2 linked regions of the Saccharomyces cerevisiae S288C genome follow. The gene in region 2 interacts genetically with the main gene of each other region. Each region holds a gene or a part of one and is shown on either strand. Other genes may lie near its edges.

Region 1 (3,260 bases), on a different chromosome or scaffold from region 2:
CATATTTCACTTACTAATATATGTTGCGTTTTCATGCATCAAAAGTAGTTAGCAATGCTAGATCGTGTAAAGGAAAAAAAAGAGAAATAGTATAATTCGCCATCCTCATAACCACTGAAAAATCGAAGTTAACCAAAAGGAAAGTTGAAATGGAGGAAGTGTTCCGTTTTTACTCGAACTCTAGAAATATCTTCATTCATAAAAGCCTTTCATTAAAACCATCCACCATTGATGACCCCAAAAGTGGATATGGCCTTTTCGTAGAACCTTCGAAGTTCAAGAATGATGAATTGAAAAGTGAAACTATCCAATTGCTCCGAATCCCTAAGCGCTGCACGTTTAATATAAACACACTTCTGGCTCTCTTGGGAGATGAGGACGAATTTTCTTCAAAGGAAGAATTTCAAAGAACTAATGACAAAATTAAGATTGCTCTTCGTGAAATAATGGCTCATCCGAATTTCAGTGTGTTCCTGACAGAAACAAATTTACTCATAATTTATTTCATGATATTTCAAACTATTCGTAGTCGTTATGAGATTCCCGAAAATATCCAATATTATTTAGAAAATGTTTTAATGAGCATTGAAGTAGAAACAGCCATGGATTCTATTGAAAACTTAGCTACTGATTATGGACATTATCCACAGATTTTTGGCCTTCGAGAGACGCTAAATTTATTTAAAGAACTGTTTCACGACGTCTTGAATTTAAGTGATATCAAACATCTTTATTCTGCAATAATTTCACGTTGTTTAGAGATACCAGAAAGGGCCGATACCAAAAGTGAAGAATTCACGGTCCATTCTACTTTAGTCCCTATTGTAGATTTTGCCAACCATGAAGGCACCCAAAAAAATGCTTATTTTGACATCGACCCTTCAAATAATGACGTTTTACTTCTATTGGATACAAAAGCGGTCCAAAGTGAACTCACAAAACCTATTGAAGTTTTCATTAGTTACTCACCAACAGAGGATTTATTTTCCATGCTTGTAACATATGGATTCACCCCAGATTTTAGAGGGAATTCCCAATTTTGGACTGTATCCTTTGACAGGTGCTTTTTAAGAAACTATGATGGACCAGATAAAACTACAAATTTAAGATTGTTTTACAAATGGATGCACATAAATCCAGTGGTACCACTAGTTAAATACGAGCACAACGGAAAGACTCGCTGGTTTCTCAATGACACCACGCCTGAATTTGATATGCTTTTGCTCCCATTCATTCCATCGATAGATGATGGCAAAATTGCTCGGTGGGCGTACGATTCCACATGTCATTTGATGTTCACGAAAATCCATTGTCTGATAAATCCCGAGGCCAACGAACATGCGTTAATGATTGCAGAAAACTACCGCTCTCTCATTAAAGAGAAAGAGTCAAATGGTGACGATTTCATAAATTTACCGCCACTAGCTTGGTCATTGCGTTACAAAGATACAGAAAACGATTGTGTACGGCAAAGACATATATGCAGTGAAGATGCGGTCGCTGTACTTAAACAAGAAGAAATGCAAGACTCAACCAAAACCAAATCCCAGTTTACCAGTTTCTTTCGTAAATTTTTAGAGTTTCGTAGATCCAAAATTATTAGGCCTACCAGTGATTCAAAAGTTGCAAGCATATTATACCAGCAGGAACTGGAAATAATTGCTGACTTAGCAAAAGCTATCGATAGCAGCTCTACCATTTTTTTCAGCGATCTGAATGTTACATTGGACACCGAACCAGAACGGCTCCCCCCTCTAAGGTTTTTAGATGATTACATAGAGATCTCTGCGGATAAGCAGGAGCCAAGCCCAATTTGTGAGGATCTTTCTTATTATACACCCAGCAGGTTTACTGATTTTTTTCAAGAAGAGGTAAGCCAATATGCGGCTTTCTTTCAGGATGACTAGATGAGTACCACTTACGATCTTGTATATAAATGTTTTTAGTTGTCCTTTCTTCTACATTAAAAGCATCACAAAGAACAATCTGACGCGTTTTTCCACTGTCTCTTTCTCGCGTTTTATTCTTTTCCGTTTGAGACAAAAAAAGAGGAGCTTTGTAGTGTAATACTACTAGTTACTTAAGGGAACACATCAAGCATTCGGTGTCTCACAGGCTACTATGAAATATAATATAGTGCATGGAATTTGCCTATTATTTGCTATTACCCAAGCTGTAGGGGCTGTCCATTTTTATGCGAAGTCCGGGGAAACCAAATGCTTCTATGAACACTTATCCCGGGGAAACCTACTGATTGGGGATTTAGACCTATATGTAGAAAAGGATGGTCTGTTTGAAGAGGACCCTGAATCCAGTCTGACAATAACTGTCGATGAAACATTCGATAACGACCATCGTGTCCTAAATCAAAAAAACTCACACACAGGTGATGTTACTTTTACAGCTTTAGACACAGGTGAACATAGATTTTGCTTCACTCCATTCTACAGCAAGAAATCAGCCACACTAAGAGTATTCATCGAACTAGAAATTGGCAATGTTGAAGCGCTTGACAGCAAGAAAAAAGAAGATATGAATTCACTTAAGGGGAGGGTAGGCCAGTTGACTCAAAGGCTATCTTCTATTCGTAAGGAGCAAGACGCTATCAGAGAAAAAGAGGCAGAATTCAGAAATCAAAGTGAATCAGCTAACAGCAAGATAATGACGTGGTCTGTGTTCCAACTTCTCATATTGCTGGGCACCTGTGCCTTCCAGCTACGCTATCTCAAGAATTTCTTTGTCAAACAGAAGGTAGTATAATATACCATGTTTGTTATATAGAGTTTATATATCGCTCATTACGAATCGGTGCAATGAGCTCTTCGATATGAAATATTCCTTAGCTTAGTAATAAGAGTGACTTAAGCTGATGCCGTTGACTGCAAAAGGAAGTAAATAGAAGTCAATAACAATGAATGACTACCATCTCGAGGATACCACGTCTGAACTTGAAGCATTAAGATTGGAGAATGCACAATTAAGAGAGCAGCTTGCCAAGAGAGAAGACAGCAGCCGCGACTACCCATTATCTTTGGAAGAATACCAACGTTACGGAAGACAAATGATTGTTGAAGAAACAGGTGGTGTAGCAGGTCAAGTCAAGTTGAAAAATACAAAAGTTTTGGTAGTTGGTGCTGGAGGTTTGGGATGTCCCGCCTTGCCCTACTTAGCGGGCGCTGGCGTGGGCCAAATAGGCATAGTAGATAACGATGTGGTGGAGACTTCCAATTTGCATAGGCAGGTTCTTCATGATTCTAGCA
Region 2 (5,880 bases):
AGGTGGCATGTCACTTATTCGCCCGTAGTTACCAACGATCATTATAAATTAATTCTGTTAGCAGATTATGAAGTGAATCGTTTGGATGAAGATGTCATTAGAGCCGCTAAAAATAAGATGTCCATCGACCAAAAGGATCAAAAAGTTCAGAGGTTCGTGGCAGCTCATTATACTAGAGAATTTGAAACATCTCTTTTTAGGTGGGTCGCTCAAGAGGGCCACTTAATTCTTGGCGAGTATTCCACAGATCAAGGATCATTTGGATTGAATAATATCCCACCATTGACGGAAGAACTCGGGTGTCAGAGCCTGCTCATACATTACATAGAGTACATGAAGAGACAACGTAAAAAAATTGCGAAAGAGGCAAGGAGACAAAATAAAAGAAACGTTGCAAACACGACTAACATGAACATGAACCTCATGTAACAAAAGTTTGCGTATAATAAACCAGTATAGATGTGTAACTGTAATTTTTAACTTATCACAAGCTCGTTCCCTTCCTGCGTTGAAAAAGCGGGACAATGCCAGAATATAAAAAAAAGAAGAAACTTTAAACCCTGTCATATCTTGTCCGAGATCTCGTCGTTCTTGTTTAATTGATCTTCTTCGTATACTGCCAAAGGTGCCAAGGCACAAAAAAGTTTAAAGTGGCACGGGCTATTGCGTCACATAAAGCCCGTAGCGCAAAAAAGTGATAGCTGACTTCATTAGATCACCAAAATGGAAAAAACTTCGTGAAGATTTCTTTTTATCTTCCTCACAGTTTTTAACTTCCGGGTGTTATACTCTCCGTTTGAAAAGTTGATTTTGTTAACTTTCCTCTTTCCTTTTGGAGTAAAAACAATATCCTCGATAGGCAAGACCTTCCTGCACCGCTATGGCGGCCATTTTGATTTTTCTTTACTGTGGGAAGCAAGAACTTGTTCAGGCGCCTTCCTGGATAAGCCATCTTTTTTCAAACAGTTTCTTCTATACGATAGGAAAGTCGTTGGCCAATCGATTAATTAATTGAACAATAGGAGCCAAATAAGCAGGATATCTTCTTTCGTATACCGCCTGCCTCATTATTCAGAACAAACACGAGTGATCTGACACTATGAAGTTAGCAGTAATCCTTTCTAAGAGAGGTGGCCCAAAATTCGAATAAAATTAACTTTCCTTACCATTTAGCCTCTATCAAAAAGGTTCTAAAAAGTAATATCACACAGCCGAGCCTAGGACGTCACCTCTTTCCTACACAGTTGACATTACTTATGTACTCAAAAGGACGTATGTACCAAGGAAAGCATAGTTTTTATTCAAATCGAGTTTTTTATTCTTATATCCTGCTTAAAAGTGGTGATTAATGAGGAAAAAATGACAGCAAGAATGAAATAGTATGTAATTTCTTTAGATTTAGCGGTGCCCGTGCCTTCCACGCGCAACTGTTCTCTCTAATTTACTATTCGCTTTGAACGTAAAATGTGCTTTAGTTTCCCAGATGTAGCTCAAGTATTATACCATCTTTTGCACCTACTTTACTAAATTCATCTCAGGTATAATTGTATCGCATATTCTATTTTTTTTGACATTTAATGCAAAATTGTGTACCTTTCGTTAAGGCGAATTTTCTGGACCATGCGCAGATCTGATCCAAAATAAACTTTTTTTCATGAAGCTCGTTTGCGATCATTGCCTGTGAATTTAGCGAAGGTGTCAGTCCACGGCGACTTAGAACTCACGTAAAAATAAGCATCTTGCTAAGACTGTTCAGCAGTCAACAGTAAAGTTCTGAAAACATGTTTTCTTAGTCTCTATCTTTGCCCATGTTCCTCTCAAGTGGAACAAAGCTAAAAATGAAATATTAATTTTATATAAAGTCTCACTCACACCTGTGGTAATTTTGTTCCCTCAGATTTGTCAATGATTCTGTCATAGAAAAGGTATCCACAAGAAAGGGTAGCGCCGTATCAAAATGGGTTCATCTGGTTCAAAATCGACCACAGCCACTACCACATCGCATAGTAGCACGACTACTACTAGTAGCACAACCAGTACAACTACGCCTACTACCACTAGCACGACAAGCACGACAAGCACTAAAGTTACAACTAGCCCAGAAATTATTGTCAGTAGTTCTAGCACATTAGTTTCTTCTGTTGTACCCGAGTTTACTTCTAGCTCGTCGCTCTCCTCTGATACAATTGCCTCAATTCTATCATCGGAGTCATTGGTTTCCATTTTTTCTTCTCTTTCTTACACATCATCCGATATTTCTAGTACATCAGTCAACGATGTCGAATCATCAACCTCTGGCCCCTCAAACTCATACAGTGCGCTTTCCTCCACAAATGCACAACTGTCCAGCTCCACTACAGAGACTGACTCCATAAGTAGTAGTGCTATTCAAACATCTTCCCCGCAAACCAGTTCATCAAATGGAGGTGGTTCCTCTTCGGAGCCATTGGGAAAGTCCTCTGTCCTTGAAACTACTGCTTCATCTTCTGATACAACTGCAGTCACATCCTCCACATTTACCACGCTTACTGACGTTTCATCTTCTCCAAAGATAAGTTCCTCAGGATCGGCTGTCACTTCAGTTGGTACTACTTCCGATGCCTCAAAGGAAGTTTTTAGTTCAAGCACGTCCGATGTTTCTTCCCTACTATCAAGTACTTCCAGCCCCGCAAGCTCTACTATTTCTGAAACCCTACCATTTTCCTCTACAATTTTATCCATCACTTCCAGCCCAGTAAGTTCAGAAGCTCCATCGGCAACGTCTAGCGTAATTAGTTCAGAAGCTTCATGGGCAACGTCTAGCTCAGTGAGCTCGGAAGCTCCATTGGCAACGTCTAGCGTAGTGAGTTCAGAAGCTCCATCGTCAACGTCTAGCGTAGTGAGTTCAGAAGCTCCATCGTCAACATCTAGCTCAGTGAGTTCCGAAATTTCGTCAACAACATCTAGCTCAGTAAGTTCAGAAGCTCCATTGGCAACGTCTAGCGTAGTGAGTTCAGAAGCTCCATCGTCAACATCTAGCTCAGTGAGTTCCGAAATTTCGTCAACAACATCTAGCTCAGTAAGTTCGGAAGCTCCATTGGCAACGTCTAGCGTAGTGAGTTCAGAAGCTCCATCGTCAACATCTAGCTCAGTGAGTTCAGAAGCTCCATCGTCAACATCTAGCTCAGTGAGTTCAGAAGCTCCATCGTCAACGTCTAGCTCAGTGAGTTCGGAAATTTCGTCAACAAAATCTAGCGTAATGAGTTCAGAAGTTTCATCGGCAACGTCTAGCCTAGTGAGTTCGGAAGCTCCATCGGCAATTTCCAGCTTAGCAAGTTCTAGACTGTTTAGCTCTAAAAATACATCAGTTACTTCTACTTTGGTTGCTACAGAAGCTTCGTCAGTAACTTCTAGCCTAAGACCTTCTAGTGAGACATTAGCAAGCAATTCAATCATTGAAAGCTCTTTGTCGACGGGTTACAATTCGACCGTTTCTACCACAACATCCGCCGCATCTAGTACACTTGGATCTAAGGTTTCGTCAAGTAATTCCAGAATGGCCACTTCCAAAACCTCATCTACTTCCTCCGACTTGAGTAAGTCTAGTGTAATATTCGGCAATAGTTCTACCGTTACAACCTCTCCATCAGCGTCTATCAGTTTAACCGCATCTCCACTTCCATCGGTCTGGTCTGATATCACCTCTTCGGAAGCTTCATCAATTTCCTCTAACCTGGCTAGCTCCAGTGCGCCATCTGACAATAATTCCACCATTGCAAGTGCCTCGCTGATTGTCACCAAAACAAAAAACTCAGTCGTTTCATCAATTGTCTCTAGTATAACTTCTTCTGAAACTACAAACGAATCCAATTTGGCCACATCTAGTACATCGCTTTTGAGTAATAAAGCTACTGCCCGTTCTTTATCAACATCCAACGCTACAAGTGCTTCTAACGTTCCAACAGGCACATTTAGCTCCATGAGCTCTCATACTTCGGTGATAACTCCCGGCTTTTCCACCAGTAGTGCGTCACTCGCAATTAATTCAACTGTCGTTAGCTCATCATTGGCAGGTTATAGTTTCTCGACACCTGAAAGCTCTCCAACTACTTCCACTTTGGTTACTTCAGAGGCTCCTTCAACCGTTTCCAGTATGACCACAAGTGCCCCATTTATAAATAATTCTACCTCTGCTAGACCTTCGCCAAGTACAGCTAGTTTCATTACTGAATCCACTTCAAGCATTTCCAGCGTGCCATTAGCGAGTGGCGACGTCACTTCCTCATTAGCGGCCCACAATTTAACTACTTTCAGTGCTCCTTCAACATCCAGTGCACAACTTGTAAGCAAATCAACTACCTCTAGCTCCATCCTGGTCACACCCAGAATCGACAGGTCTGGAAATTCCTCAACTGCCTCTAGAATTGCAACATCACTCCCTAACAAAACTACATTTGTTTCTTCCCTAAGTTCAACATCCGCTCATGCCAGAAATATCTTTAATTCAACTGTTCTAGCTACTGCTAAACAAATTGAAACTTTAACTTCAACAGTCAATTGCAGCAACCCTACTCCTAATTACAACATAACCAAAACAGTAATCGTAAGTAGGGAGACTACTGCCATAGGAACTGTTACAAGTTGTTCGGGTGGTTGCACCAAGAATAGAAAGTCAACCACACTTATTACTATAACAGATATTGATGCTTCTACTGTTACTACTTGCCCAGAAAAAGAAGTAACATCGACCACAAGTGGAGATGAGGCAGAACATACCACTAGCACTAAAATAAGTAATTTCGAAACGTCCACGTTTTCGGAAAGTTTTAAGGATATGAAGACTTCTCAGGAAACTAAAAAAGCTAAACCAGGATCAGAAACGGTGAGGAGCTCGTCATCTTTTGTCGAAAAAACCTCACCAACAACAAAGGCTTCTCCATCAACTTCCCCATCAGAAAGTAAAGCTGCAGGAAATACATCCGTTGCAACGAATGCTTCACCATCAACTTCCCCATCAGAAAGTCAAGGTACAGGAAGCACATCTGTAGAGGGAGCAAAAAGCAAGTCAACTAAAAATTCAGAAGGAGTATCAACCACTAAAGCGAAAAACACATCAACTGTTGCGAAATCTTCAACTGAAAGTCCGATCGGGAGGGGTGAAACTACCCTTGAAACGATAATTGTCTCGAGCCAAAAGTCGCTATTAACATCACAACTAAGTTCATCCACTGAAAAGGTAAACAGATCTACCACCAAACCTACGGCAGCGATTCATGGAACATCCTCATCCGCTAAACAAAGCACAACATATACTGTCAGCACGGCAAAAGAAAATACCGGTGCATCCCTGAACATTAACATGAAAGCTTTTGTTATTGGCGCTATTGCTTTGGTAGCTTAGTAATATAGTTATTGTCCGATACCCTATGAACGTGCACCTTTTTTGTTAGTGTATTGATATGTGTTTCTTTTCACCTTAAAGGTGCTTAGCAAGGAGAAAAAGAGAAAAAACAAAAGAGAACTGTACGAGTTGTAAATATTTAAATAGTACCTTATAATCATAAAAAAAAGTTTCAAATGTAACCTATATCGATTAAAACAGCACTCCTATATACAGACCCAAAACATGGAGCAGTTAAAAAGAAAGGAGCTACATTTATCAAGAGCTTGACAACCTAGTCTGAAAATTCTTTGTCGTAGCCGACTAAGGTAAATCTATATCTAACGTCACCCTTTTCCATCCTTTCGAAGGCTTCATGGACGCCGGCTTCACCAACAGGTAATGTTTCCACCCAAATTTTGATATCTTTTTCAGAGACTAATTTCAAGAGTTGGTTCAATTCTTTGATGGAACCTAAAGCACTGTAAGAAATGGAGACAGCCTTTAAGCCATATGGCTTT

What was found. A genetic interaction does not mean that the proteins touch.
Region 1: mutations in YMR317W (region 2) and ERP5 together harm fitness more than expected from each alone (negative genetic interaction), as found in Saccharomyces cerevisiae (2 studies listed by BioGRID).

The regions. Positions count from the first base shown.
Region 1 is NC_001140.6:330,161-333,420, forward strand, and holds ERP5 (Erp5p), read left to right. Parts: upstream 1-2,121; coding exon 2,122-2,760; downstream 2,761-3,260. Other genes in the region: CTM1 (cytochrome c lysine N-methyltransferase), read left to right, coding at 150-1,907; UBA4 (Uba4p), read left to right, coding at 2,912-3,260. UniProt on the Saccharomyces cerevisiae protein: Involved in vesicular protein trafficking.
Region 2 is NC_001145.3:905,407-911,286, forward strand, and holds YMR317W (uncharacterized protein), read left to right. Parts: upstream 1-1,957; coding exon 1,958-5,380; downstream 5,381-5,880. Other genes in the region: DIA1 (Dia1p), read left to right, coding at 1-429; YMR316C-A (uncharacterized protein), read right to left, coding at 256-567; ADH6 (NADP-dependent alcohol dehydrogenase), read right to left, coding at 5,655-5,880.